Anolis sagrei: one gene and its partners. The protein of the gene in region 2 interacts with the protein of the main gene of each other region in a pairwise test. Links are inferred from orthologs where the notes say so. Each region holds a gene or a part of one and is shown on either strand. Other genes may lie near its edges. The genes, in order: EPAS1, BMAL2, NPAS2 and CLOCK.

Region 1 (8,091 bases), on a different chromosome or scaffold from region 2:
GGTACAAGGGTTTAGCCCACTGTGCCATCGAGGGCTCCTAGGTGGCGTATTCATGGGTAATGTGAAAATATCTAGTCGGCCTGCCTGTTTTTAGCTTCTTTACATTTCTTATGTATCACCTAAGCGTTTTCTTGCAAAGCACCAGCATTGCCCTTGGGCCTGATTGTTCCTGTTCTCCAGTCCAGTCGACTCTGCTTTGCTTAAACTGTAATTCAAACCTTAGCCGGCATGGCAAGATCTCTTCGTCTTGGGCCAAACTGATAGACCTGGCCTTTGGCCGTGTGCCTCCCATTTAGCTAGTTGAAAGAGTCTTTTTTAACTTGCCGGACTCTGAAGCCTGACTGTTTATCCTAGCATAATCAGATATCGAGAAAGGAGATTTGAATTCAGCTGGTATCAGTGAAGATCCCAAGGGTTCTGTTAATCTAGGGAATGAGTGACCTGGTTCTTTGATCTTGCAATGTTCTTTCTATCATCTGTTAGATAAATGTAGGGATCCTTCATTGCCTGCACATGCATTGTGCTCAACTGAAGTTTCAAATATTTGCAGATTACCATTGTTTATATTCTATTACCCTACAATCAGATTGTTGCTTTGCTGGCATGTTGAACTCGCTTCAGAAGAGAAAGCAGAGGAGATTGGTACAATATGCTCTGGCTTGTTTCTGTTTAACAGGGAGAGCCTGGTCCCCTTCTGCTTATATAGGAAATGTAGAGACGCTGATCAAAAATTGGTTAGTATGGGTCACTTGATGTTTCCTTCTGAGGTTTCCATTTCTCACCCTTTAGTCTTTAGAAATTAAATAAATGCGGATTTGCTCACGGTTTGTAAATTCTATTTTATATGCATTGACTCAGATTTTAAAATGCAGTATATTTCAGTGTAGTGAGGAAGGTACGAATCCAGCCTCAATGCAACTAGAGTAAACCAGCTGACTCCATGGAATACAGTTGTCCCTCCACATCTACGGTTTTGACTGTTATGGATTTGATTAAAAATGTTGGACTCAAGTGTCTTAAGATCACTTTTAGGTATTGTTGATGGGCAAGATTTCTGTGTACCATTTTTGTAGATTTTTTTTAAAAAAAATAGGATTTGGGCTTGTTGTTGTATGGCATCAAGTCATTTCTGACTTCCAGCAACCCTAAAATTATAGGGTTTCTATGGATTCCTGTGGTCAAGTGGGGTTTTGAACACTAGTCTCTCGACCACACTGAAGAATTAATGCAATCTAACACCACTTCAACTACAATGGCTCTATGCTAGGGAATTATGGGAACTTTAATTTTAAAAGGCCTTTAACTTTCTTTGGTGCCTCACCAAACTAGGATTCCATAGAATTGAACCACCTGAGTTAGAATGATGCTTTTTTATCTAATCAGAAGCAACTTGAGAACATACTGCAAGTTGCTTCTGGTGTGAGAGAATTGGCCATCTACAGATGTTGTCCAATGGAGCCTCGGATGTGTTACCATCCTGCTGGAAGGCTTCTCTTATGTCTCCGCAAGCTAGAGCTGACAGATGGGAGTTCACCCCATCTTGCAGATTTGAACCGGCAACCTTCAGGTCAGCAACTCAAACTTCAGGTCAGCAGTCCAGCTGTAACAAGGGTTTAACCAGGCAATGACAAACTTTGGTCCTCTAGGTGTTTTGGACTTCAACTCCTTCAATTCCTAACAGCCTACTTGCTCTCTTAGGAATTTTGGGAGTTGTAGTCTAAAACACCTGGAGGGCCAAAGTTTGCCCATGCCTGGTTAAACCCATTGTGCCATGCTAAACTGCATAAATTCTACAGTATAGTTGCACTCAATGTGGCCACAAAGGCTTTCAGAGGCAAGAATTAAGTAATTAAGATTGACACATTATTCAAATGGTCTAATTTAGTTGGGAGTTAAAGTGTAACGAGGCACCTGCACTCATTGGCATAGGTTTGGACCATGGATATGTACACACATACTTTAAAATTAATTGAAAAATCTTGGGGATTTATTTATTTATTTATTTGCTGTATTTATATACCGCCTTTCTTAGCCCGAAGGTGATGCAAGGCTGTTTATATTCAGCACAATTCAATGCCCCCAAAAACATAAAATACAATTTAAAACAGTAGCATATAAAATATAGATTCATATAAAATCAAAAGCATGTCCTTACTGAAATTATTATGGCTGAGGACACATTTTCCTTCACCCTCGTTGTTTACTATTGGCAACTCACTCAAAAACACCAAGTTGCCAAGCGAGTTTGGCATTCTGAATAATAGCTCAGCCTTAAGGCTAGTCCTGCTTTAATCTCTCTCTCAGTTTTCCAAAGAATTAAGGGAAGTATATAGTACTTAACAGAGAGCCAGCATGGGGTTGTGGTTTGAACATTGGGCTACAACTCTCAGCCTCAGAGGAAAGGAAAGGTAGACTCTCTCTGAACAAATCTTGCCAAGACAACCCTATGAGAGTGGTTTGCCTTAGACTGGAAACAAAGGTAGTGGGTTGTTGTGAGTTTTCCAGACTGTATAGCTATATTCCCAAAGCATTCTCTCTTGATGTTTCGCCCATATCTATGGTAGACATCCTCAGAGATTGTGAGGTCTGTTGGAAACTAGGCAAGTGGGGTTTATGTATCTGTGGAATGTCCAGGGTGAGAGAAAGTACTCTTGTCTGTTTGAGGCAAGTGTGAATGTTGCAATTGGCCACTTTGATTAGCACTGAATAGCTTGGCAGCTTCAAAGCCTGGTTGCTTCCTACCTGGGGTAATCCTTTGTTGGGAGGTTAAATTGGTTAGGATTCTATGAGATATTAATTGAAAAAAAATATAGCAAAATATACTGCAGGATGTCCTGGGGTAATCCTTTGTTGGGAGGTTATCTGGCCCTATGGAGCCCCCGGTGGTGCGGTGCGTTAAACCCCTGTGTCGGCAGGACTGAAGACCAACAGGTCGCAGGTTCAAATCTGGGGAGAGGCGGATGAGTTCCCTCTATCAACTCCAGGTCCTCATGCGGGGACATGAGAGAAGCCTCCCACAAGGATGATAAAAACATCAAATCATCTGGCGTCCCCTGGGCAACGTCCTTGCAGACGGCCAATTATCTCACACCAGAAGCGACTTGAAGTTTCTCAAGTCACTCCTGACACGACAAAAAAAAAACTGGCCCTGATTGTTTCCTGTCTGGAATTCCCCTGTTTTTTGAGTGTTGATCTTTATTTCCTGTCCTGATTTTAGAGTTTTTTTTTTAATAATGATAGCCAGATTTAAAGGTACACAACCTAAAGGTATATAACAACAACGTGCTAAACCCTCACCACAAGGCTAGTCCTCAAATCCACAACTTATCCAAAATAATCTGGGAAGCAATGTGGCTGAGCTGGAGTTTTGCATTTATTATTGTAAATACCCCTTTCTTATTCCAATATAATCTTGAAGTGGCAGAATCTTGACTTCTTTTTAAAATGCTCAATGTACTTTGCAATTTCTTTCCTGCACCTCATATTATCAGACCCGGGGAAAAGTTGCTTCAGCATTGTATGTAACTCCCACTCTGATCATACTGCCTGGGAGATTCTGAAGGGAGTTGCCAATATTTCATTTCATTTTAAATTTTTTCTTCTTCTAGTTTTGCTCTGCCTAACTTTCCAGAGCATTGACCCTGACTGAGTATCCACACTGCAGAATTATTGTATTTTGACACCACTTTTACTCCCAAACCTTCTACAAAATCCTGGAATTTGTAGTTAGTTCAACCTAGTTCAAAGCAGATATTGTGGGATTTTCTGCCTGGATATTCTGGGTTATATGACTGTGTGAAAGGGCCCTTAGTGAGACACCAGCCCTCTTGACCAGTGAAATAGCAATACTTAAAAAAAACATATCATAGGATCCTATATAGGGTGTGATAGGTATGGGCCCTTCAAGTGGTGCCAAACCCTGCAGTATAGAGTGCATTTGCACTGTAGAATGAATGCAGTTTGACATCACTTGAACTGACCTGGCTAAAAGCTATGGAATTATGGGACTTGTAGTCTGGTAAGGCACAGGACTTTTTGGCAGAGAAGGCTAAAGACCTCCTAAAACTACTGTACAGCATCAGTGATTCCTAGCACGGAGCCAGGGTAGTTAAAATGACTTAAAATTGCATTTATTCTACTGTATAGATGCACCAAAACACTTGTTGATCTCTAAGGCACTGCAAGATTTATTTGCAACTGAATTTAGCTATACTTTGTGTTTCCCTGTCAGTCTCTTTGGGGGGGGGAGGGGGGTGCTGCTGCTGCTATAAAACTCCAACTCCAGTGATTCTGTGGCCATGAATCAGCTCAAATGGAAGTCAAACTGCATTTATTCTGCAGCGTTGATGCACTATGACCCTCTTTTAATTTCTAAAGTGCTGCAAGATGCCTTTTGTCACTGTGTCTAAGGCGTTCTTGGCATTTTCCCTGCCGGTTGTTAGGAATGGTGGGAGTGGAAGTCCAAAACACTTGGCGGGCTGACGTTTGCCCGTGCCACTGCCTACTGTAGAGGCACCCTAGGTCCGGGCCTTTTTCCCCCGGGGGTGGGGGTCTCTGCTCCGGAGTGTGTGGTAGAGGAACCTTCTTTGGAAGCTTTTAAACAGAGGCTGGATGGCCATCTGCCGGGGGTGCTTTGAATGTAATTTTCCTGCTTCTTGGCAGGAGATTGGACTAGATGGCCCATGAGGTCTCTTTCAACTCTATGATTCTATGATGCTATAATGTGGGACTTTCTGCCTTGATATTCTGGTATATAGCGCTGTGTGGAAGGGCCCTAAGGCGCCCTTGGCGTTTCCCCTGCTGGCTGTTAGGAATGGTGGGAGTTGAAGTCCAAAACGCCTGGAGAGATGAAGTTTGCCCGTGCCACTGCCTACTGTAGAGGCACCCTAGGTCTGAACCTTTTTCCCCCCGGGAGTGGGGGGTCTGACCCATCCGGCTGTGCCTCCTTCGGCCCCTCCCTCGCTTTGACTTGCGATCAACAAGTGCTGCCAAGTGGCTGGAGGCGGGTCCGGAGGCGTGGGCTTTGCCCGCCCCTTGGAGGCAGCGCCCTCGGCGGCCTCTCCAGCTGGAAGAAGCGCCGCCTGAGGCTCCAGCCTGCCTCTGTCCTCCTGGCCGGTCGGCAGAGCCTTCCCAGGGCGACCCGTCCTCCCTTTCCTCCTCCTCCTCCTCCGTACATATACCCAGCGCCAAAGGAGGAGCGGCAGAAGCAGCCAGGAGCAGTGGCGGCGGGGAGCCGCGGCGCCCTTGCCTCCTCCCTCTCTCTCTCTCTCTCCCCTGAGCGGGCTGTACAATCCTCGGCAGTGTCCTGAGACTGTATGGTCAACTCAGGGGCGGCTCGACGGCCTCCTCCTCTTCCTCTTCCACCCCCGCCAAGCCCAGGAAAGGCAACCCACCCGACGGCAAGCGCGCAAAGAGCGCAACCCATCTCTTCTCCAAAGTGGTCTCCAAGCTTGGCGCGCGCGCTTTCTCTCTCTCTCGTGCGCCCTGACATCTTCCTCCCCAAGGATCCCGACGGACAGAAAGCCCCTTCCTCTCGGGGATACAGCGTGAGAGCATCCCAGCAAGCAAGCAGGAACCCCCGCTTCCCAGGATGACAGCCGAGAAGGAAAAGAAGAGGTAAGGGAGGAGGAAAAGAGAGCCAGGGACATCTTTGCGGGGACAAAGTTCTCGCGCCAGTTCTTTGAAAGCAAGGAAGCTCTTCCGCTGGTTGGATTCAGGAGGGACCTCTCCTTTTGCATCTCTTTCCTAACTCTTCCCAGTCCTTTGGAGCCAGGGAGGTTGAAGTGGGGCTGGATCTCTCTTTCCCCAATCCCAAATGGTCCAACAATGGTGCCTTGTTTGGCTCTACTTCAAGTCCTTTCCCTCTGCGTTCTGCTCCACTCACTTCTCTGAAGCGCCCAGGCTCGGGTCCATCTCTACAGTAGAATAGATGCAGTGTGACACCCCTTGAACTACCAAGGCGCAATGCTAAGGGAGCCTAGCAGTTGTGTTTCCCCAAGGTCTTTAGCCTTCTCTGCCAAATAGAAGTGGTGGTTCAATAAACTGCAACTCCCCAGATTCCAGTAGCACTAAGCTGCGTCAAACTGCACCCATTCTACAGGGTAGATCAGGCCTGGGCAAACCTGTGCCTTCCAGATGTTTTTGGACTTCAACTCCCAACATTCCTGAGGCCCATAAGCGGCTGAAGGGGGAAAGGAAGGAGGCCGAGGCTGTTAGGAATGGTGGGAGTTGAAGTCCAAAACACCCAGAGGGCCCAAGTTTGCCCATGCCTAGTGTAGCTGCCTGAACACTAGGAATTATTTAACTCGAACTGGATCTTGCATTCCAATATCTCAAATAGAGTGAGAAATGTCAGATCTTGGTGCTGTCCTTGCTGTGGCATATTTCGTGATCTAGAATCATAGAATTGGAAGAGACCTCAAGGGCCATCCAGTCCAACCCCTTGCCAAGAAGCAGGAAAATTGCATTCAGGGCACCCCCGACAGATGGCCATCCAGCTTCTGTTTAAAAGCTTCCAAAGAAGGAGCCTCTACCACACTCCGGGGGGAGGGAGTTCCACTGCTGAACAGCTCTCACAGTCAGGAAGTTCTTCTTGATGTCTCTTTTCTTGTCGTTTGAAGCCATTGTTCTGCATCCTAGTCTCCAGGGCAGCAGAAAACAAGTTCACTCCCTATGACTTCCCCTCACATATTTATACATGGCTATCATGTCTCCTCTCAGCCTTCTCTTCTTCAGGCTAAACATGCCCAGCTCTTTAAGCCACTCCTCATAGGGCTTGTTCTCCAGACCCTTGATCATTTTAGTCACCCTCCTCTGGACACATTCCTGTTTGTCAATATCTCTCTTGAATTGTGGTGCCCAGAATTGGACACAATATTCCAGGTGTGGTCTAACCAAGGCGGAATAGAGGGGTAGCATGACTTCTAGACACTCTACTCCTATTGATGCAGGACAAAATCCCACTGGCACTTTTTTTTTTTGCCTTCTTTAGCCTTCTCTGCTGAAGAGGGCTGGTGGTTCAACAAACTGCAACTCCCCCAAATTCCAATAGCACCAAGCGGCTTCAAACTGCATCCATTCTATGGTGTAGATCAGGCCTGGGCAAACTTGTGCCCTCCAGGAGTTTTTGGACTTCAACTCCCACCATTCCTGACAGCCTCAGGCCCACAAGCAGCTGAGGGGGGAAAAGAAGGGGGCTGAGGCTGTTAGGAATGTTGGGAGTTGAAGTCCAAAATACCTGGAGGGCCCATGCCTGGTGTAAGTGCACACTTGGACTGCTTTAATTTGAACTGGATCTTGCATTCCAACATCTCAAATAGAGTGAGAAATGTCAGATCTTGGTGCTGTCCCTGCTGTGGCATATTTGGTGACCTGTGGACTTTCAAAAAGTTTACTTCCACTTCTTGTTTGACTCAGGGCCCTTCCACACAGCCTTATATCCCAGAATATCAAGGCAGAAAATCCTACAATATCTGCTTTGAACTGGGTTATCTGAGTCCACACTCAGATAATGTGGGATTTCCTCCCTTGATATTCTGGGATATAGGGCTATGTGGAAGGGCCCTGACACTCTCTGCAATGCAACCCTGAAAGCCAACTAATAATCAATGTATTGTCGAAGGCTTTCATGGCTGGAATCACTGGGTTGTTGTAGGTTTTTTGAGCTATATGGCCATGTTCTAGAAGCATTCTCTCCTGACGTTTCGCCTGCATCTATGGCAAGCATCCTCAGAAGTTGTGAGACCTCACAACCTCTGAGGATGCTTGCCATAGATGCAGGCGAAACGTCAGGAGAGAATGCTTCTAGAACGTGGCCATATAGCCCAAAAAACCTACAACAACCCAACTAATAATCCCTTGCAAGAAGATTCAGTCCTTTAAGGATGTCCTCACTTTTAATCTCCAACAAAGTGTGGAAGGGCACTTCCGAACAGGATTGTATCATTTTCTTATAGTAGAATGAAGGTGGATGATGGGAAGGCAGCATCCAGTGTTAGATAAGAAGAGGGTACTCACACATTACATTGAATATGCATGTCAGTGCATAGTTTTGGTTGTTTTCTTGGCAATATGCATTCCAGTGTGTGTGTG
Region 2 (7,009 bases):
GAATGTCCATAAAAGAACAAAAGAATGTCCATAAGAATTAAAACTCCTCTAGTAACTGAACAAAAACAGAGAAAGGTTTACATCAAACCCAATGTGTTTTATATAATCATTTGCAAGAGCACTGCAAACCATCCTTTTATATGCCAACAAGCAGGAAGCGACGGTGGAGATTGTGAAAAGGACTAAAGCGGTGATTTAAAAAACCCCATAAAATGGATCACTGTTTCGGTTTTCCTTCAAATTGCATAGACTAAATAAAGAGGAAATTCTTGCTCATGTAGCTAAAAGAAGCAAATATTTAAAAATTGGGATGTACAAAAAAAGTGTCTCTATTGGGGATTATATTTCTTTTACTCACAATACAGTTTTGTCATAGATATTGTCTATAACATTGCCTTTTAAGCTATCTGATGTGGGAAGCCAGCATCACATACACGCTCTCTCTCTCTCTCTCTCTCTCTCGATGTACCAATGACTGGTACCATATTTGTGTTCAATGGCTACAAATGACTCGTGGTTGGCAACGGCCCATGGACCATTTCTTTGACTGGAATTCTCCCTTCTTCCATACACCAATGTTGAAGTATTCACATCAAATGACAAACAGGTCATATACAGTACATTTCCATATTGACTGGGAGTGACTTTTTGTACTCTACTGACCTTTGGGTCTGTATCTAGCGCTCTCCCTATTTTCAGAAGGGAAGATCTAAAACAGCCCTCCAGAATGTCCCTACACCAGGTTTTGTTCTTTAATAATAGATTACAATTTGAAAGTTAATGCAAGCAAAGCTCCAGTCAGAAAGCACTACAGGATCAAAGGAAACACAAACAAACCCTGACCTACTTTTTTGGGAAACAGAATTTGCCGGCACAATTTTGCTAACGCAAAATAAAACAGAAGTGACGAGTACAAAAGACTCATCTTTGTGTCTAAAATTGGAAGACCAGCAGCCATATTCAGAAGTGTGAAGACAATGTGCCTTTCAGCATTGTTTCATGAACCACCTGAAGTATATATCGGAAAAGAATGGAATACTAAAGCACAAGAAAGATGATTTAATCAATCTGACATAATATAGTAAAAAATAAAATGTATGTACTTTGGTCCATGGTTACCCAAAATGCAAACAAAAAACAAAACCTATTCTTTAAAAACCTTGTGTAGATAGAATAAAAAAACATTTTGCTCATACAGAAAACTTTAAATATCAGTTAAGGTGTGCACGCAAAATAGGTCAAAAGGTAAATGATATCAGCATTTAAAATGAAATTATACATAATGGAAAAAAATCAAATCAACATGCCCTATGTATTTCTTCCAGCTTCCTGCCGACATACGGTTACCCATAAAATTTTATAGAGTTCTTAGAGGTAGTTTTGCCAGCCCTTTCCCCCATGACCTTCTGGCATACAAACTAGTCAAATGTGGGCTAGGCAAAACTATGGTTAGGTGGATCTGTAATTGGTTAAGCGAATGAACCCAGAGGATGCTCACCAATGCTTCCTCATCATCCTGGAAAGAAGTGACAAGTGGAGTGCATCAAGTTTGCAGATGACACCAAATTGGGAGGGACAGCCAATACCCCAGAAGGAGCAGAATTCAAAACGATCTAAGAAATTATTGCAGTGGTTCTCAACCTGTGGGTCCCCAAATGTTTTGGCCTTCAACTCCCACAAATCCTAACAGCTGGTAAACTGGCTGGGATTTCTGGGAGTTGTAGGCCAAAATACCTGGGGACCCACAGGTTGAGAACCACTGGATTAGAGAGATGGGCCAAATCTAACAAAATGAAGTTCAACAAATGCAGAAAAAACGAAATGCAAAGATAACAGAATGGGGGACACCTGGATCGACAGCAGTATGTGTGAAAAAGATTTTGGAGTCCTCGTGGACAAGTTAAACATGAGCCAACAATGTCATGCGGCAGGAAAAAAAGCCAATGGGATTTTGGCCTGTATAAATAGGAGTGGTGTCCAAATCCAAGGAAGTCATGCTACCCCTCTATTCTGCCTCGGTCAGATTCTGGGCACCACAATTAAAGGGAGATGTTGATAAGCTGGAATATGTCTAGAGGAGGGCGACTAAAATGATCAAGGATTTGAAGAAAGAGCCCTATGAGGAGCGGCTTAAAGAGCTGGGCATGTTTAGCCTGAAGAAGAGAACACTGATGGCCATGTATAAATATGTGAGGAGAAGTCACAGGGAGGAGGAAGCAGGCTTGTTTTCTGCTACCCTGGAGACTCGGACACATCCTTCTCCATCAATTTCGCTGGAGTGGCCACATTGTCCGAATGCCTGATCAACATCTCCCCAAGCAGTTACTCTACTCTCAATTCAAGAATGGAAAAAGGAATGTTGGTGGACAGGAAAAAATATTTAAAGAGGGGCTTAAAGCTAACCTTAAAAACTTGTGACATAGACACCGAGAACTGGGAAACCCTGGTCCTTGAGTGTTCCAACTGGAGGTCAGCTATGACCAGCAGTGCTGTGGATTTAGATATAGAGAACACAAGGAAGGAAGGAAGGAAGGAAGGAAGGAAGGAAGGAAGGAAGGAAGGAAGGAAGGTGCCGCCTCACCTGGGGCTCCGGGTCTCCCGCTGGCCTCCTCAGCTCCTGCCGCCTCCGCCATGGCCCGCTCCGCAGAGGCAGCAGGAGCAGCAGCCGCGGCCCGCCACCCGCCGCCCGCCGCAGAGGCATGGGGAGGGCAGGCGAGAGAGAGAACGAGGTGCTCCGGCAGCGGCCGCCGCCAAGCGAGCCCCTGAGGGAGGGAAGAAAGAGGGAGGCCGGGTGAGAGGCTACACTTCAGGCTGAGGAGGAAGCGCCCGGCATCTCGCGAGAGTTGCGTTGGCCAGAACACACCCGGGGACCCTTCGTAGAACAGTTCCTTCCGAATGCCTCAGCTTTGGACGAGAGGATTCTGGGAACTGAACTCTCAAACACTTGAAGGAGTCGAGGCTCGCGGCTTTCTTCATGTTGGGAGGCTTCCCGGGGAGCGCCTCCCTCAATCCCTGCCTTCTCTCGGCAGGCACGTGCGCCCGCGGCACGCGACCCGTGACGCGCCAAGCTCCGCCCCTCCTCCTCACCCACTGACCCAGATACGAGGCCGCGCGCCGCCGCCGCCTTGGAGCAAGCGCGCGCTGACTCTGCGCCTCAGGTTCTCGCGCCCACGCTCTTCATTAGCGGCGTTGCTTCAAAGGCCCTTCCCAAGCTTACTTCGCCAAACATTGATGGGGCGTCCAAGTTCCAGATACCTCCGCCAGGATGGTCGGGGAGGGAGGGGGGGCTTGTAGTCTAACCAATATCTTAGGCCCCTTTTACACAGCTGTATAAAATCCATGATAATCTGCTTCGAAGTGGATTATATGGCAATACACTCACATAATCCCGTTCAGAGTAGATAATGTCGATTTTGTCGAAGGCTTTCATGGCCGGGATCACTGGGTTGTAGGTTTTTCCGGGCTATATGGCCATGTTCTGGAGGCAATTTTTCTCCTGACGTTTCGCCTGCATCTATGGCAAGCATCCTCAGAGGTACTGAGGTCTGTTGGAAGTAGGAAAAATGGGTTTATATATCTGTGGAATGACCAGGGTAATGTTTCAGCTGATCACCTTGATTTGCATTCAATGGCCAGGAAGCGCCTGGGGGGAATCTCTTGTTGAGAGTGAATTGATGTGCCTGATTGTTTACTCTCTGTTGTCGATTTTATTTATCGTGTCAGGAGCAACCAGACATTTGTATTACATTTTTAACAAAACAATCAGCCAAAACAAAGTTTGCAAGCTTGGTAGTTGATTAAATGTCCTTTGACCAGTAGCTGGCCACTTGGCGTGCTTCCGGTGTTGCTGCAAGAAGGTCCTCCATTGTGCATGTGGCAGGGCTCAGGTTGCATTGCAGCAGGTGGTCAGTGGTTTGCTCTTCTCCACACTCGCATGCCGTGGATTCCACCCTGTAGCCCCATTTCTTAAGATTGGCTCTGCATCTCGTGGTGCCAGAGCGCAGTCTGTTCAGCGCCTTCCAAGTCGCCCAGTTTTCTGTGTGCCCAGGAGGGGAGTCTCTCATTTGGTATCAGCCATTGATTGAGGTTGTGGGTTTGAGCCTGCCACTTTTGGACTCTCGCTTGCTGGGGTGTTCCAGCGAGTGTCTCTGTAGATCAGTGTTTCTCAACCTGGGGGTTGGGACCCCTGAGGGGGTCGCGAGGGGGTGTCAGAGGGGTCGCCAAAGACCATAAGAAAATACAGTTTTTTCTGATGGTCATGGGGATTCCATGTGGGAAGTTTGAGCCAGTTCTATCGTTGGTGGAGTTCAGAATGTTCTTTGATTGTAATGAACTATAAATTCCAGCAACTACTACTCCAAAATGTCAAGATCTATTTTCCCCAGACTCCACCAGTGTTCACATTTGGGCATATTGAGTATTCATGCCAAGTTTGGTCCACATCCACCATTGCATGAGTCCACAGCACTCTCTGGATATAGGTGAACTACAACTCCCAAGCTCAAGGTCAATGCCCATCAAACCCTTCCAGTGTTTTCCATTGGCCATGGGAGCCAAGTTTGGTTCAAATCCATTGCTGGTAGAGTTCAGAATGCTCTTTGATTATAAGCAAACTATAAATCCCAGCAACTAGAACTCCCAAATTACAAAATCAATCCTCCCCCAACCCCACTAGCATTCACATTTGGGTGTATTGGGTATTTCTGCCCAGTTTGGTCCAGTGAATGAAAATACATCCTGCATATCAGATATTTACATTATGATTTATAACAGTAGTAAAATGACTGTTTTGAAGTAGCAACAAAAACAATATTATGGTTAGGGGTCACCACAACATGAGGGACTGTATTAAGGGGTCACGGCATTAGGAAGGTTGAGAAGCACTGCTGTAGATCTTAGAAAACTATTTCTTGATTCAATTCGTTGATGTGCTGGCTGATACCCAAACAAGGAATGAGCTAGAGATATCACTGCCTTGGTCCTTTCACTATTGGCTGCTACTTCCCGGCGGATGTCAGGTGGTGCAATACTGGCTAAACAGTGTAGTTTCTCCAGTGGTGTAGGGCGCAGACACCTCTTGATAATGCGGCATGTCTCATTAAGAGCCACATCCACTGTTTTAGCGTGGTGAGATGTGTTCCACACTGGGCATGCGTACTCAGCAGCAGAGTAGCATAGCGCATGGGCAGATGTCTTCACTGTGTCTGGTTGTAATCCCCAGGTTGTGCCAGTCAGCTTTCGTATGATATTGTTTCTAGCGCCCACCTTTTGCTTGATGTTCATAAACAGCATAGATGCTGTTGCTAGTACTAGGGCATTCGAGCATGACCTCAAACTGCTTGAGCAGATGTACACAACTAGTATGAAGCTGAGCCTCCCCATCTCCATAGAAACACCCCCACAGCAACCCCGGCAGTCCTCTGAAAATGGTGATATAGAATCATTTTGAGTGAACAGAGGAGAACTGATGTATTTGGATTCTGTGGTATTTCTGGGGCTAGAGTGGGGGTAATTTGAGGTGTTTTCGTTCGCTTGAATGGAAGAAATTTCCCCCAGATTGCATTGAGGGATACATGGAAGGCTTTGAGGCCATATGTGGTTCACAGACTGCATTACGCCCACCCTACTTTATAGCTAGAGGGATCTACCATCTTTTTTGTAGAACAGTTACTCTAAGGAACACTTTATCCAGGAAAAAATTGACAATCGGTTAGGGATCACTATGTAAACGTTAGCTGGTGTTACTGACCATTATCAATATACTGAAACTGGTTATGTGTCATAACATATCCAACACAAATACATTCACAGACCAGGGCACTCTTTCCTTGGTGCCTTCTAGATGTGTCGATCCACAACCTTCATGATTCACCAGACAGCACAGTATAATGTATTATCAAAGGCTTTCATGGCCGGAATCACTGGGTTGTTGTAGGTTTTTCCGGGCTTTATGGTCATGTTCTAGAGGCATTTTCTCCTGATGTTTCGCCTGCATCTATGGCAAGCATCCTCAGAGGTAGTGAGGTCTATTGGAAGTAGGAAAATAGGTTTATATATCTGTGGAATGACCAGGGTGAGACAAAGGACTTTTGTCTGCTAGAGCTAGGTGTGAATGTTTCAACTGACCACCTTGATTAGCATTTAATGGCTTGGAAGTGCCTGGGGGGAATCTTTTGTTGAGAGTGATTTGTTTGTTTGTTGAGAATGCTAAGTTCAGCAAAGGACAAGAGGGATCCTCTCACCTCTGCAGGAGTCTACCGTATTCCATGCAGCTGTGGAGAAGTCTACATAGGGACCACCAAACGTAGCGCCCAAACACGAATCAAGGAACATGAAAGGCACTGCAGACTACTTCAACCAGAGAAATCAGCCATAGCAGAGCACCTGACGAACCAACCTGGACACAGCGTATTATTTGAGAACACAGAAATGCTGGACCACACTCACAACCACCATGTCAGACTACACAGAGAAGCCACTGAAATCCACAAGCATGTGGACAATTTCAACAGAAAGGAAATAACCATGAAAATGAACAAAATCTGGCTACCAGTATTAAAAAAACTCAAAAATTACAACAGCAAAACAACAGAGAGTAAACAATCAGGCACATCAAATCACTCTCAACAAAAGATTCCCCCCAGGCACTTCCAAGCCATTAAATGCTAATCAAGATGGTCAGTTGAAACATTCACACCTAGCTCCAGACAAAAGTCCTTTGTCCCACCCTGGTCATTCCACAGATATAAAAAACCATTTTCCTACTTCCAACAGACCTCACTCCCTCTGAGGATGCTTGCCATAGATGCAGGCGAAACGTCAGGAGAAAATGCCTCTAGCACATGGCCATATAGCCTGGAAAAACCTACAACAACCCAGCACAGTATAGCTGGCCATGGGATTATGGAAACCATAGCACAACATATCTTGAGGGCAGTGAATTGGCCAAACCTGTGGCAGGTGAAAGAACAGGGCTCCAAGCCTTTATTTTCACTTCCCCAACAGTAGT
Region 3 (7,211 bases), on a different chromosome or scaffold from region 2:
CAGAATATCAAGGCAGAAAATCCCACATTATCTGCTTTGAACTGGGTTATATGGCAGTGTGGACTCAGATAAACCAGTTCAAAGCAGATTTTGTGGGATTTTCTGCCTTGATACGAAAGGGCCCCGAGTCCACACTGCCATATAACCCAGTTCAAAGTAGATACTGTGGGATTTTATACAGCTGTGTGGAAGGGGCCAGGAGACTAGCCTTTGAACCCCCACTCAGCCCTGGAAATCTGCTGAGTGACTTTGGGCACGTCACATACTCTCTGCCCCAGAAAACCCTGTGATGGTGTCACTTTAGGCTTGCCATACTTTTCGGCAGCAGCAGGCAACACAAGCACCTACTTCTCAGGCTCTGTGGTGTGGGAAAATGGGACTTGTGTCCTATCTCCTAACTCTTTCCTAACAATTGACCACAGGTCAGAAGCAGTGGTTCCAGGCTTAGTCCAGGGACTAGTGCTCTGAGGAGTGATGCTGTACAATAGTGGTTTCCAGACTTTGGTCCTCCAGTAGTTTAGGACTTGAACTCCCAGAATTCCCAGCCAGATTCCAGCTGTTAAGAACTGTGGGAACTGAAGTCCAAAACACCTGGAGGACCAATGGTTGGGAACCACTGCTATACTGATACGCAGGTCACGTCTATTGTGTTCTGCTGGAAACTATGTGTTATGTTGCAACAAAGGGCCCCTCCACACAGCCATATAACCCAGAATATCAAGGCAGAAAATCCACAATATCTGCTTTGAATGGGGCCCCTTCCACACAGTCGAATAAAATCCCACATTATCTGCTCGGATCTGGAATATGTGGCAGTATGGACTCAGATAACCCAGTTCACAGACAGCAGATATTGTGAAAATTTCTGCCTTGATATTCTGAGTAATATGTCTCTGTGGAAGGGACCTGAGTTAGCTGAGTCCACACTGCCATATAATCCAGTTGTTTTGATACAGCTGTGTGTAGGGGGCCTAAGCCAACCTTTTCTCCACCTTTTGGTGACCTCTCTCTTCAGAGGGCCCTTCCACACAGCCATATAACTCAAAATATCAAGGCAGAAAATCCACAATATCTGCTTTGAACTGGGGACCCTTCCACACAGCCCTATAACCCACAATATCAAGGCAGAAAATCCCTCATTATCTGTGTGGACTCAGATAACCCAATTCAAAGCAGATAATGTGGGATTTTCTGCTTTGATATTCTGGGATATAGGGCTGTGTCGAAGGGCCCTGGGCTGGCTGAGTCCACACTGCCATATAATCCAGTGGACCTGATACAGCTGTGTGGAGGGGGCCTAAGGGCTCTTCCACACAGCCCTATATCCAAGAATATCAAAGCAGATGATCCACAATTGGGAGCCCCTGGTGGCAGAGTGGGTTAAACAACTGAGCTGCTGAGCTTCTTGACTGAAAGGTTGCAGGTTCGAATCAGGGTAGTGGCATGAGCTTCCAGATTCTGCCAACCTAGCAGTTTGAAAACATGCAAATGTGAGATCAATAGGTACCACTGTGGCAGGAAGGTAAAGGCGCTCCATGTAGTCATACTTGCCACATGACCTTGGAGGCATCTACAGACAACTCTTCAGCTTAGAAATGGAGATGAGCACCAACCCCCTAGAATCAGACATGACTGGACTTCACAGGCAGGGGTGGCTCAACCCATTACGCAAAGTAAGCATTTGCAGTATAGTTGATTTTGCCCAGGGGGGCTCTTGGGGTGCTCCTGGGGGAAAATAGACCTTGACATATGCGAGTTGTAGTTACTGGGATGTATAGTTCACCTACAACCAAAGCGCATTCTGAACTCCACCAATGATGGAATTGAACCAAATATAGCACATAGAACTCCCACACGAACAGAAAATATATATCAGTGATTGGTTGGGCGGGGACCAAAATACTGTTTGCTTACCATTGAAAATTACCTAGGGCCACGTCTGTTCACGGGAAAACCTTTCCCTTTACTAACCCACAATATCTGCTTTGAACAGGGTTGGCTGAGTCCACACTGGCATATAATCCAGAGTGTGGAAGGGGCCTCCTCCTAAGACAGCCTTTTCTAACCCTTTTGGTGACCTCTCTCTTCAGAGGGCCCTTCCACACAGCCATATAACCCAGAATGTCCAGGCAGAAAATCCCACAATAGGTATCTGCTTTGAACTGGGTGATCTGAGTCCACCCTGCCATATATTCCAATTCAAAGCAGAGATTGTGGGATTTCCTGCCTTGATATTCTGTGTTAGATGGCTGTGTGGAAGGACCCAGAGAAGCGAAGAGTGCGGGGAGGTGAACCTGGGCCACCCGTGGGAGCGGTGGCGAGGGCGCCCCCTAGCGCGGGCAGAGGAAGGAGGAGAAGGAGGAGGCTGAAGTGTGTCACTGTGCCAGGCGCGCGCGGGGCTGGCTTACCTGAGGAGCCTGGCGGGAGGGCAGAGGGGCGCGCGCGCGGCCAGGGCGCGAGGCCAAAGCGGGGCGGCGGGAGTGCTGCTGCTAATGCTGATGTTGCTGCACCCGCTGCTGCTGCTGCTATCCGCGGTGGCCACTTGCGCGCGCGGACTCCCGCCGCCCTGGGTCTCCCACTCGCGCTGCCGGCTGGCCGAGTTCTCCCTCTTCAAAGGCACGGGGGGCTCCGAGGCGCCTTCTTTTTTGCTGCTGCTGCTTCCGCCACTCCGCCGCCGGTCTCTCATGGTGTGAGGGAGCCCCGCATGCCGGACGCTGCCCGCTCCCTTCCCTCCTCAGCTCTGGCGGGAAGGGAGAGCGGAGCCGGGGCCGGGCATTAAGTTGCGACGAAGACCGCGGGGGCCCTTCGCCTCCAAAGTGGCTGCTGCCCCGGGGTCTGCGGAGGAGGGGGCATCCTCTTCGAGCCACGGAGGAAGCTTCCCTCACGACATGCTCTCTGCGTGGGGCTCTCTCTCTCGCTCTCTGGGTTGAGGAGGCTCCCGGCCAAGAGGGAGCTGCGAAATGGGGTCAGGGAGGCAAGGCGCTTCCTTCGCGCGCCCTCCTCCTCCTCCTCCCTTCCCGAGAGAAGGTGGGCTGAAGGGTGGGCTCTTTCGGCTTCTTTTTTGGCGCGTGGGGAGGAGGAGGAGGAGGAGAACCAAAGGCAGCTGCGCGGGAAAAAGAGCGCGCGGCCTCTCCCTCTCTTTCTCTCCCGCCTCTTGTTTTTGCACAAGGGCAGGAAGCGCTCCACTGACCTACATATTATTTTGCCAAACAGACCTGACCTTCCCCTTCCTTCCCAGGAGGAGGAGGAGGCGGGGGCGGATTCCACACGAAGGAGAAGAGGAATTTGGGGCCGGCCTTGAGATCCGAGCGAGCCCTTCCGAGGTGTGCCCGGAGAGCCGTCGGCAAGAAGGCAGCGCACACGGGCAACGCACACTTGCAGGAGACAGAGTTCACCCAGGGAGTTCAGGACTTTGGTTGAGCCCGCTGTCCTCAGACCTTGGGTGCATCTATAGTGGAGAATGAGGGCATTTTGATACCAGCACCCTTTGGCAAAGAAGGTTAAAGACCTTGTAAAACTAGAATCACAGAGTTGGAAGAGACCTCATGGGCCATCCAGTCCAACCCCCTGCCAAGAAGCAGGAAAATGGCATTCAAAGCATTCCCGACAGATGGTCATCCAGCCTCTGTTTAAGCCTCCAAAGAAGGAGCCAACACTACACTCCGGGGCAGAGAGTTCCACTGCTGAACAGCTTGCACAGTCAGGAAGTTCTTCCTCATGTTCAGATGGAATCTCTTTTCTTGCAGTTTGAAGCCATTTCTTGCTCCCTCCTCCCTATGACTTTCCCTCACATATTTATACATGGTTATCATGTCTCCTCTCAGCCTTCTCTTCTTCAGGCTAAACATGCCCAGCTCTTTAAGCTGCTCCTCATAGGATTTGTTCTCCAGACCCTTGATCCTTTTAGTTGCCCTCCTCTGCACAAATTCCAGCTTGTCAACTTCTTTCAGTTGTGGTGCCCAGAATTGGACACAGTATTCCAAGGCAGAATAGATGGATCTAGACACTATACTCCTATTGATGCAGGCCAAAATCCCGTTGGCTTTTTTTGCCACCGCATCACATTTTTTGCTCGTTTAACTTGTTGTCCATGAGGACTCCAAGATCTTTTTCACATGTACTGCTTTTAAGCCAGTCACCCTCCTTTGGACACATTCCAGCTTGTCAACATCTCCCTTAAATTGTGATGCCCAGAATTGGACACAGTGTGATTCCAGGTGTGGTCTTACCAAAGCAGAATTGAGGGGTAGCATGACTCCCCTGGATCTAGACACAATACTCCTGTTTATGCAGTTAGGAACTGCCAGGCTTTCATGGCATTGAGACATGGCAGCTAAAAGTGGTGTCAAACTGCCTTAATTCCACAGTGTAGATGCCTCCTGGTTGGAAACCTGTGTTCCCTTTCCAGGCAGGTGCAGAGGACACTTTCTGGAGTCTAAACTGCTTAGACGGGCATTTGTTTCTAAATATAAATGTCTGCCTGTCAGATTTTTTAAAATGTTCACAGTATGTATGTGTTTAAAAATTCAAAGTGCTCCAAGACACAGTTTTGAAAGATTTGAAATTTGGTTCCAGAATGACTTTTTAATGTTTATTAAGTAGAACCATTGAAACATAAGAGTTGGAAGAGACCACAAGGGCCATCCACAAGGAAAGCGCCCCCAACTGAAGTCTGCACACCTGTTTTATAATTTTAGTGCCAAACAGAGGATGCATGTACACCATAGAATCAATATAGTTTTGACATCACTTTAACTGGGACATGAGAAAAGCCTCCCACAGGATGGTAACACATCGAAACATCCAGGTGTCCCCTGGGCAACGTCCTTGCAGACAGACAATTCTCTCACACCAGAAGCGATAAACTGCAAGCCACTCCTGACGTAAAAAACAAAACAAAATACTTTAACTGTCATGGCTTAGTCCTTGGCCAGGGGACCTCCAAAGAAGACTGTGCTGGATCCTGACAGCTGTATTTCAGAAGGAATGGCAAACCATCTCTGAAGGCACATATGCACAAGGCAGTTTGAAGGCACACACACACAAAAGTGCCTCAGAACTCAACATATGAAAGCTAAATTGAGAATGAAGTTAATTCTCTGCCTTACATCTCAGCAGAGAAGCCCACATAACATATGGGCTGAAGTTTCTCCAGGTGCAATGTCTGTCTCCACATCCAAGACCATGGAATCTGACTTGAGTTGAAGGAGTTTGAAGAATTAATGTTATAATATTACCCTCAAGCTCACTAAGTTTTTCTTAGAATCATAGAATTGGAAGAGACCTCGTGGGCCATCCAGTCCAACCCTCTGCCAAGAAGCAGGAAAATCGCAATAAAAGCACCCCCGACAGATGGCCATCCAGCCTCTGTTTAAAAGCCTCCATAGAAGGAGCCTCCACCACACTCCAGGGCAGAGAGTTCCACTGCTGAATGGCTCTCACAGTCAGGAAGTTCTTCCTCATGTTCAGATGGAATCTCCTTTCTTGTAGTTTAAGCCATTGTTCCACGTCCTAGTTTCCAGGGCAGCAGAAAACAAGCTTGCTCCCTCCTCCCTGTGGCTTCCTCTCACATATTTATACATGGCCCTCATCATGTCTCCTCTCAGCCTTCTCTTCTTCAGGCTAAACATGCCCAGCTCTTTGAGCCGCTTGTTCATATGTCTTGTTCTCCTTGATCATTTTAGTCACCCCCCTCTGGACACATTCCAGCTTGTCAACATCTCCTTTCAATTGTGGTGCCTAGAATTGGACACAGTATTTCAGGTATGGTCTTACCAAGGCAGAATAGGGTAGCATGACTTCCCTGGATCTAGACACTAGACTTCTATTTATGCAGGCCAAAATCCCATTGGATTTTTTTTTTGCTGCCACATGACATTATTGGCTCATGTTGAACTTGTCCATCCATGAGGACTTCAAGCTTTTTTTCATATGTACTGCTGTCGAGTCAGGTGTCCCTCATTCTGTATCTTTGCATATCATTTTTTTCTGCCTGAGTGGAGTATCTTGTATTGGTCCCTGTTGAACATCTTGCTTCTTTTTGTTAGGCACCTTGGAAACTGAGGTAAACAGATAGTATACAAAGATGCAGATTCAAAAACACCTGTAAACTCAGATTCATTACATATAGGTGTAATACAAAGACCTCCATTCCATTCCGTATAGTTAATAGGTGACCAAGATGCATCTACACTGCGGAATTAATTCATGGCTCAGTCCTGTGGAATCATGGGTGTTGTAATTTGATAAGGCAACAGACAACTTGACATACAAGGCTACAGACCTTGTAAAACTACCAAGATTCCATAGTGTTTTGGGCACTTAAAGTGGTGTCAAATGGCACTAATTCTTAATCCTAAGTTTCTAAATGTAACATTGAAAATAATCACATTTGATTTATTTGGGTTTTTAAACATATATATGCACATATAGGTCCATGGAGGGTTACCTGTCAATGCTGAGATCACAATAGAACCCCACCCCCCAATAAAAAAGCTTCTATTTGCCATGGAAGAGAAGCAGTAAATGACATCAACAACCAATTCCTTCTTGTAGAAAATAGCAAATGGTGTGTGTCTGTGACAGCTTTCATTAGGATCAAACTATGGGGCAAAACGATCACCTTCCCCTCCTGCATGCTGCTTTCTGCAAGCCTGTTTGCCTCTGGCTGCAGGTAAAATTCCCATGCAAGACAGGTACTGTATATGGAATGCAAACATAGTTTTAACATATTGAACGGTTAGATATTAGCATTTCTATGTCTGCAAATAAAAGGCAAGAAAGGGAATAGAAAATGTTTCTGGTCTTTTCATATTACACCAGAAACTTTCAGAAGTGTCTTATATAAGAGGGAAACATCGTTTGCGATGCTTCCAGCATGATTTTCTCCCACACACACAAAAAAGAGGCCACATCTCCAAACCTTCTGCAATATTAATTGGATTTTCTGTTTTGCATGAAGATGCTCCCGGACCATGTAAGCAGGCAGAATGAGGGTCCAGAGTTTGTGAGCTATAACTGCAGTTGGAAGTGGCAGGGAGGAGCTGAATCATTGCCTCAGTGCTCCCACTTTGGTTTCCCTTTACTAAGCTTTCTTCACTTGTCCAGAAGCTACTTGTGAATTACACCATGGCTTCCAAATCACATTTTGCTGAATCTTTTTCTTCCCTTGATTTAGAGAATGTCTGCTGTGGAATAATTCCTGTTGTGTA
Region 4 (7,731 bases), about 18 Mb from region 2:
AAAGTTTGTGGACCCCTGCTCTATGTGATGTTATGATTTGTTATAGATAAGAGTCTAGAGTTGCTGATTTTATCAGTTCCTGAGGAAGGGGATTGCTTTCACCGAAACAGGGTACAAAAATACCCGGGAACCCCTGTTGAATGCCATTTGGACCTTTCCTTTGAAGACTTATTTTGAGAAGCAGTGGTCCATTCTCACTGGACTTGATTTGGATTTTTTCCATGAAGATTGTTTTGAGAGTGGTGCTCCATCTTCATTATTGTCTTCAGTCTACATATAGCCTCATGACTCAATGCTTACTTTGTTTATATGATTTTTCTTATTGAATGTATCCCTGAAGCCTATATACAGTGGAATCCTTATCCAGACCTAGAACTGTTACGTTTGAGAGCGGCTCCTCCTCTTGATTTTGCTGTGTGCCACTGAATTGAGCTATGTACTGGGGATTTTGGTAAATGGAATACTATATGCTCTTTTGATAATACACTTTGACATTATCCATAGATTGTTTTGTGTTTGTGCTGCTTCCAGCTGAAACTTCAGAATAACCAACTCTTGGAAAAATTACCCTATGTAACAAAACTTTTGTTCCTGGGTTATAAATGCAATTTTCTAATTGGTTCTGTCATGGGAAAATGTATTAAACTGCAAAAACTTTGTTTTGTGAGACATTCTACAGCACATTTTGCTATAGTTTTTCAATGAATATCTCATTGAGTCTCAACCAATTCAACCTAGTTTGTGGCAGCCACAAGGTTTCTGGAGTAGAACAACTACTTTCAAAGTAGGTACGACACAATTAAACAGAAATAACACTTTCAAACCAGGAACATTTTTTTAAAAAAATTGTTAGATAGTGTTATTATGACTTCAGCTCCCACAATCCTCCACTCATTCTGGCAGGGATGCGTAGACCAACTGGCTTAAACTCTGAGGATATGTCAGTTAATCTTGTTTCTTGGCATTCTGTGCTCAATTGCATCCTCAGTAGTAACTCAGTGATGAGATAATGGGTTTCTAGGGAATTATGTTGTTTCAGGGATTTTTCTTACGTCCATCAGTCATAACATGGATGGGATGAAGGATTGATGAGTATCATATGGGTTGATGTCACTTCCTATATATCAGCAAAAAGAATAGACACCTGTGTAACACAGGGAGGAATGCAAGCATCTATCAGTGATTTGATTTATAATAGACATGCAAAGTAATAGCTATATCTCAGTTGCCCCAATAGCTCATAAACTGTGAGAGAAGTACTATTCTATAGGATGTCCCAAGTCTCCCTTCATAAGGAAAATTGCAGCTAAATATGCCCTTATTTACAAAATTTTCACTACAAATTTTATAAAATATTGACAACATACTCTCTGCATGTTGTATATCTGAAAGTATACAAACATATAAGCATATACATATATAATATAATATATTTATTTTTAATTAAATATATTATTATATTATATTAATTTAATTTAATTTTTCCAATGTATGGAGACTTTTGGGATGCCCTGTATATTCAATTATGACAGACTTTATTGTTGTAACGACATTAGGCAAATTCCCTTTGAAATCAATTGGTATTTCCCAGCTGCATTCTGATCTCTAACCTTCTGATAAAACATTACATTTGTAGTTTTTTCCACATCAGTCTAGAGGTGGACTACCATGAGCACTGACCAGCATAGCCGGTGGAAAGGGATGGTAGAAGGTATCTGGAATATTTGAAGGGCTTTCCATTTTGTGCTTCATGCCATAGGTGAAGGAAGGGTGGGCTCCTAATGTTGTTGCACTACACCTCCTATCATTCCTGAACACTGGTCAAATTATTACGTTGGATGAGATTTGCAGGCCAATATCAACTGAGCACTCACTTTCACTCTATTTCACAGTATTTTGTTGCAAATATTTAAAGACAACGTTTTTCTACTGAATAGCATATTCATTTTATACATGTTTATATAGTCCAATAAATTCTATGTGAAGCTCCTTAAGAAAATAAGATAATACATACCCAGGCTTAAATAATTCTTAAGCCATGTGTGTGGCCAGGCTTAAAAGTTCTACAAGGAATAAAATATTTACATTTTGAAACAAGGCCTAATGTTTGAACGTGTTGCATTATGCATGCTTAATTTCTTAGGCTTTGCTGATTCTTCACATAAATGAATGAATGCTGGAAAAAAACATCGTTCTAGAGCAGTGACATCTGTTTTGTGGGAAATCATAGGAGTGTCATTCAAAATAAAATACAAAACATGTATTCAGGACAGCCAAAGCATGCCTTCTTGTGTAAGAGAGTCTATTGTGAAGCTACCATCTTTGAATTCAGCAATAAACCATGTCTGCTTTAGGCTTTTAATATTTTTAAAAAGTTTCACAATCATAATTACTGCGAAAATATTTTCTATGAACTAAAGATACAAGTAGGGGGCAAGGAGATTCAATGGCATATCTAGCATTTTTGATACCCAGAGTGGATCATTTAAGACACCCCTTTCTCTATTGCATCTATCTATTTATCTATCTATCGCATGGAATGAAACACATAAAAACATAAACAAATGCAGACAGTGAAATGAACTGTTATTGAACTTTACAAATACAATCAAATCTGTATAAATGAATGAATGTGATATATATAAATATATATATGTTAGATAAATATAATATAATTTATATTACATAAAACCCTGTCCGAATGCATCCCCCCTATGAACCATCATGATTAAGATCCTCTGGGGAGGCTCTGTTCTCCGTCCCGCCATTGTCACAGGCGCTACTGGTCACAGGGCCTTCTCGGTGATTGCTCCCTGGCTCAGCATACTCAGCACTTTTTAATCTGTGCCCAGTACATTTGCCCGGCCTAGTTTTATTGTGTCAAGGTGTGCTGTTTTTACCGTTTACTGTTATTGCTTTAATGTTTTTGATTTGCTTTTGGTTTATATGTAATTAGGTTCTTGTGGGTTTTTTCAGGCTATAGGGCCATGTTCTAGAGGCATTTTGGGCCCTACAGCCCGAAAAAAAAACCCACAAGAACCTAGTGATTCCAGCCATGAAAGCCTTCGACATTATATGTAATTGTTATATTGTTGTTTTATTGTGGCCTTGGCCTTTGTAAGCCGCATAGAGTCCTTCGGGAGATGCTAGAGTGGTACAAATAAAGTTAATAATAATAATACTAATAATAATGAGTCCCCTTCGGGGTGGGAAGGCTGGAATCAGATATTTATGTATTTATCATGTCAGAAGCAAACCAAGGGTACAGTTGTAGTGTATTTAAAAACACAAAGGGCGGATTCCAACAAACAAAAGTCAAACATTCAATGCCTTGACAAGAGCATAAATGCAAATACAAGTACAGTACCAACCTGACCAAGTCCTAAAATAAACCAGCATCCACATAAATTGACATCTATATCTACAAAATAAACCAACATCTATATATATATATATATATATATATATATATATATATATATAAATGCTCTGTGCATAATGAGTACCTTAAAAACAAAAGAACCAATGAACACACAAAATTTGGCAACAAAATGTCTCACAACACAAGGAGTGACCATCACTCAAAAAATTATGGTTTTGTCATTTGGGAGTTGTAGTTGCTGGGATTTATAGTTCACCTACAATCAAAGAGCATTCTGAACTCCAACAACGATGAAATTGAACCACACTTGGCACACAGAACTCCCGTGATCAACAGAAAATATTGGAAGGGTTTGATGGGCATTGACCTTGAGTTTGGGAATTGTAGTTCACCTACATCCAGAGAGCACTGTGGACTCAAACAATGATGGATCTGGCCCAAACCTGGTACAAGCACTCAATATGCCCAAATATGAACACAGATGGAGTTTGGGGGAAATAGACCTTGACATTTGGGATTTGTAGTCACTGGGATTCACAGTTCACCTACAATCAAAGAGCATTCTGAACCCCACGAACAACAGAATCGGGGCAAACTTCCCACACTGAACCCCCATGACCAACAGAAAATACTTAAGGCCATCCAATCCAACTCCCTTCACCAGGGCAAAAAAACGTAATCAAAGTCCTAATGACAAAGAGCCATCCAGCCATAGATATAGATAGATTGATAGATATGATTAACACAGAGAGATATAGTATCATAGATTTGAAAGGGACCTTTAAAGAAGGACAATATGTTGCATGTTCCAGGGTGGGCAAACCAGACACTCTCCACATCAACACTGACAAAGAAACAGCAAGAAATACTGTTTACCCACAAGCATAAAGAAATTACATATATTAGAAACCAGCACTTTCTCATTACTTTATTTTTGAGTTCAACAGATTGGGCCACAGCAACGCGTGGCAGGGGACAGCTAGTCTATTCATAAAGTTGTGGATCAGAAGCACTCCTTTCAAATCCTGACAAAAGAGGAAAAGGAAGCCCTAAACCATGGAACAAAACCTGGGAGGATTTCCCTTTGAGTGGCCAAACCTCCCCTCCCTCCCTGCTCCCTCCCCTCCAACCCACTCTCACTCTCCAGCGAGGTAATCTAAGGTCAGGCAAGAACAGCGTGTTCTTTCGCGACGCATGCGCAACACACCCCTCGGGGCGGCTCCGGCGGCGCATGCGCGGAGCAACCACCACCTCCCTCTCCTCCCCGCCCGCCACTTTTGACGAAGAAGGGGAATCACCATTTACCCCCGCGTTGGAGTATGACGCCACTGCGCATGCTCGGCGGCGGCCAGGGAAACACAAGGAGGGCTTCGTTGCGGTTTGTCCCTCAAGGAAGTGACGCATGCGCAGTACGGCTTCTCCGAGCTTGGCGGCTGCTACTGCTGCTGTTTTGCCGGTAAACTCGAGGGTGGCGCATGCGCGGTGCAGCCGAAGGCAATTTCACCTCCCCCCCCCTCCTTCCACAGGCCTGGTGGTTGTTACCATCGGAAAAGGGAGAGGCGAAACCATTTGCTCGGCGAAAGCGGGGGGAGTCGGCTGAAGAGGATGAAGAGCGCGAGACGCGACTGAGGCAGTAAGGAGGGTGGGGGCCGTGGCCTCGCTGAGGGAGAAGGGGCTGTGTGTGTTGAGGCGGTGAAGGGGCTCTGAGGTAAACTTTGACCTGAGGGACGGGATTTCATAACGGAGACCGAGGGCGGAGAGGGAGGAGGAGGAGGCCTGCCCGTGCCTTCCCTCTCGGTGGCAGCCTGCCTGCCTGACTGCCTGGGCGGCAATGAAGGATCCCGAAGGTCTCCCGAAATTGAGGCACCCCGAACGAGGGCGGTGGGCTTGGCAGCTCCTCATTGACATGCTGTCAGTGCAGGTAAGGAGGGATGCCCTTCTTGTTCCCCCCTTGTGAGGGAATCCAGGGCATTGGATCTGCCAGAAGAGCGCCAGGAATATCCATTCCTTCGCTTATTTATACGCAAATCCACTGCTTATTTACTCTCAGTCTATTCCCGCCAACACACACTTTGGCCCCTTCCACACAGCTGAATAAAATCCCACATTTTCTGCTTCGAACTGGGATATATGGCAGTGTGGACTCAGGGCCCTTCCACACAGCCCTATATCCCAGAATATCAAGGCAGAAAATCCCACTTTAAACTGGCTTATCTGAGTCCACACTCAAATAATGTGGGATCGCCTGCCTTGATAGTCAGAGATATAGGACTGTGTGGAAGGGCCCCCAGATAACTCAGTTCAAAGCATATAAATATAACTACTGAAGCACAATATGGGTGAGGGAGCAGAAGGGAAGGGGAAGCAGGGTAAAAACATCCAATGCATCTTCCCTTCTGCTCCCTCACCCATATTGTGCTTCAGTAGTTATATTTATATTTTTAATGTACCAAACATACCAAGTTTGTATGAAAATGTGACTATTTCCTGTGCTGGTCAATGACCAAAATAAATGATTTGATTTGATTTGATTCAAAGCATAAAATGTGGGAGTTTCTGCCTTGATATGCTGGGTTACATGGCTCTATGGAAGAGCCCTAAAAATGCCTCAAATCTTCGACCTCTTTCTGAGTCTGACTTGCTGATTCCCAAAATTACAACGCCCTGTTTACATTGGCGAGATTGGTGGGGATGGGGGAGAGGGCCTTCTTGGTGGTGGCCCCCCGACTCTGGAACTCACTCCCCAAGGACATCAGACATGCCCCAACCCTGGCAGTCTTTAGGTTGTTGTTGTTCATTCGTTCAGTCGTCTCCGACTCTTCGTGACCTCATGGACCAGCCCACGCCAGAGCTCCCTGTCGGCCGTCACCACCCCCAGCTCCTTCAAGGTCAGTCCAGTCATTTCAAGGATGCCATCCATCCATCTTGCCCTTGGTCGGCCCCTCTTCCTTTTGCCTTCCACTTTCCCCAGCATAATTGTCTTCTCTAGGCTTTGCTGTCTCCTCATGATGTGGCCAAAGTACTTCAACTTTGTCTCTAGTATCCTTCCCTCCAGTGGAGCTTGAAAAGGTGGTTGTTCCAGTGTGCCTTCCCAGAATAAGGAAAACTCTCAGCAATATGCCCTCAAATGCACTTTACCACAGATTTAGGACTGACTGTGGTTCCCTCATCTCTCTTTGAAAACCCTATACCAGTTATATCCTACCTTGTTCATGCCCAGTGTTGTTGTTTTTTTTATTATTTTAAACTATTACATTTGGCCTGGCCATAGGTTTTTACATGCTTGTGTGTTATGGTTTGTTGTTTATGTGATTTATATTAATTGTATTGTATTGACTGTTTTTGTTATTGCTTTTGTTTATTGATATACTGGGGGCTTGGCCTCATGTAAGCCACACCGAGTCCCTTGGGGAGATGGTAGCGGGGTATAAATAAAGTTTTATTATGATTATTTATTACATTGCCGTATACTAATCGGATTATAAAAGCAGATCATCTAAATTATCTGCTCTGAACTGGATTATCTGAGGGCGCTTCCACACAGCCATATAACTCCAGAATATCAAGGCCGATAACCCATATTATCTGCTTTGGATTATCTGAGGGCCTTTCCACACAGCTATATAACCCCAGAATATCAAGGGCGATAATCCACAATATCTGCTTTGAACTGGATTATATGAGGGCCCTTCCACACAGCCATATTTTCCCAGATAATCAAGGCTGACAATCCACAATATCTTCTTTGAACTGGATTATATGAGGGCTCTTCCACACAGCCATATAACCCCAGAATATCAAGGCTGATAATCCACAATATTTGCTTTGAACTGGATTATATAAATCCCTACAGCCATATAATCCAGTTTAGTGTGGATTTTGTACAACTGTGTGGAAGGGGGCTGAGTCCTCACTGTCATATAAACTAGTTCAAAGCAGATAATCTGGATTTTATATGACAGTGTAGAAAGGCCCTGAGAAACTAGATGCTGTCTATCCAATGCAATTTTCTGAATCAGCACCTCAAATAACCCCAGGAACAGGCTTAAAATATGTTGTTTATTGCAATCAAAGGGTCCTTTACACAGTCATATATAACCCAGAATAACATAGAAGAAAAGTTGCTACTCTGGGGGTCCTAGAAGTATACCATCCCCCCCCCCCCATCTCTTCCCCTTCACATTTTTTCTTTTCTTTTTTTTCTCTTCCTCTCCCCCCACCCCCACTTCCTACTTTCTATATCACATTATTCCCACTGTAACCATGTTACCTTTTTCTTAAATGGTCAAAAGCAAGTATTTCACTATGCTCTACTTTCTTGAGAACAACTTTTATTCTCAGTAAAAACA

The links.
Region 1: the proteins of BMAL2 (region 2) and EPAS1 interact in binary tests that used the Homo sapiens proteins (3 or more experiments, as listed by UniProt). The link is inferred for Anolis sagrei from reciprocal best matches to the Homo sapiens genes BMAL2 and EPAS1.
Region 3: the proteins of BMAL2 (region 2) and NPAS2 interact in binary tests that used the Homo sapiens proteins (3 or more experiments, as listed by UniProt). The link is inferred for Anolis sagrei from reciprocal best matches to the Homo sapiens genes BMAL2 and NPAS2.
Region 4: the proteins of BMAL2 (region 2) and CLOCK interact in binary tests that used the Homo sapiens proteins (3 or more experiments, as listed by UniProt). The link is inferred for Anolis sagrei from reciprocal best matches to the Homo sapiens genes BMAL2 and CLOCK.

The regions. Positions count from the first base shown.
Region 1 is NC_090021.1:26,973,237-26,981,327, reverse strand, and holds the start of EPAS1 (endothelial PAS domain-containing protein 1), read left to right. Parts: upstream 1-5,067; 5' UTR 5,068-5,590; coding exon 5,591-5,616; intron 5,617-8,091.
Region 2 is NC_090025.1:91,982,613-91,989,621, reverse strand, and holds the start of BMAL2 (basic helix-loop-helix ARNT-like protein 2), read right to left. Parts: upstream 3,071-7,009; 5' UTR 2,634-3,070; coding exon 2,582-2,633; intron 1-2,581. UniProt on the Homo sapiens protein: Transcriptional activator which forms a core component of the circadian clock.
Region 3 is NC_090023.1:103,383,928-103,391,138, reverse strand, and holds the start of NPAS2 (neuronal PAS domain-containing protein 2), read right to left. Parts: upstream 3,093-7,211; 5' UTR 2,687-3,092; coding exon 2,409-2,686; intron 1-2,408. UniProt on the Homo sapiens protein: Transcriptional activator which forms a core component of the circadian clock.
Region 4 is NC_090025.1:73,607,819-73,615,549, forward strand, and holds the start of CLOCK (circadian locomoter output cycles protein kaput), read left to right. Parts: upstream 1-4,719; 5' UTR 4,720-4,838; intron 4,839-4,851; exon of another isoform or gene 4,852-5,015; intron 5,016-5,042; exon of another isoform or gene 5,043-5,303; intron 5,304-7,731. UniProt on the Homo sapiens protein: Transcriptional activator which forms a core component of the circadian clock.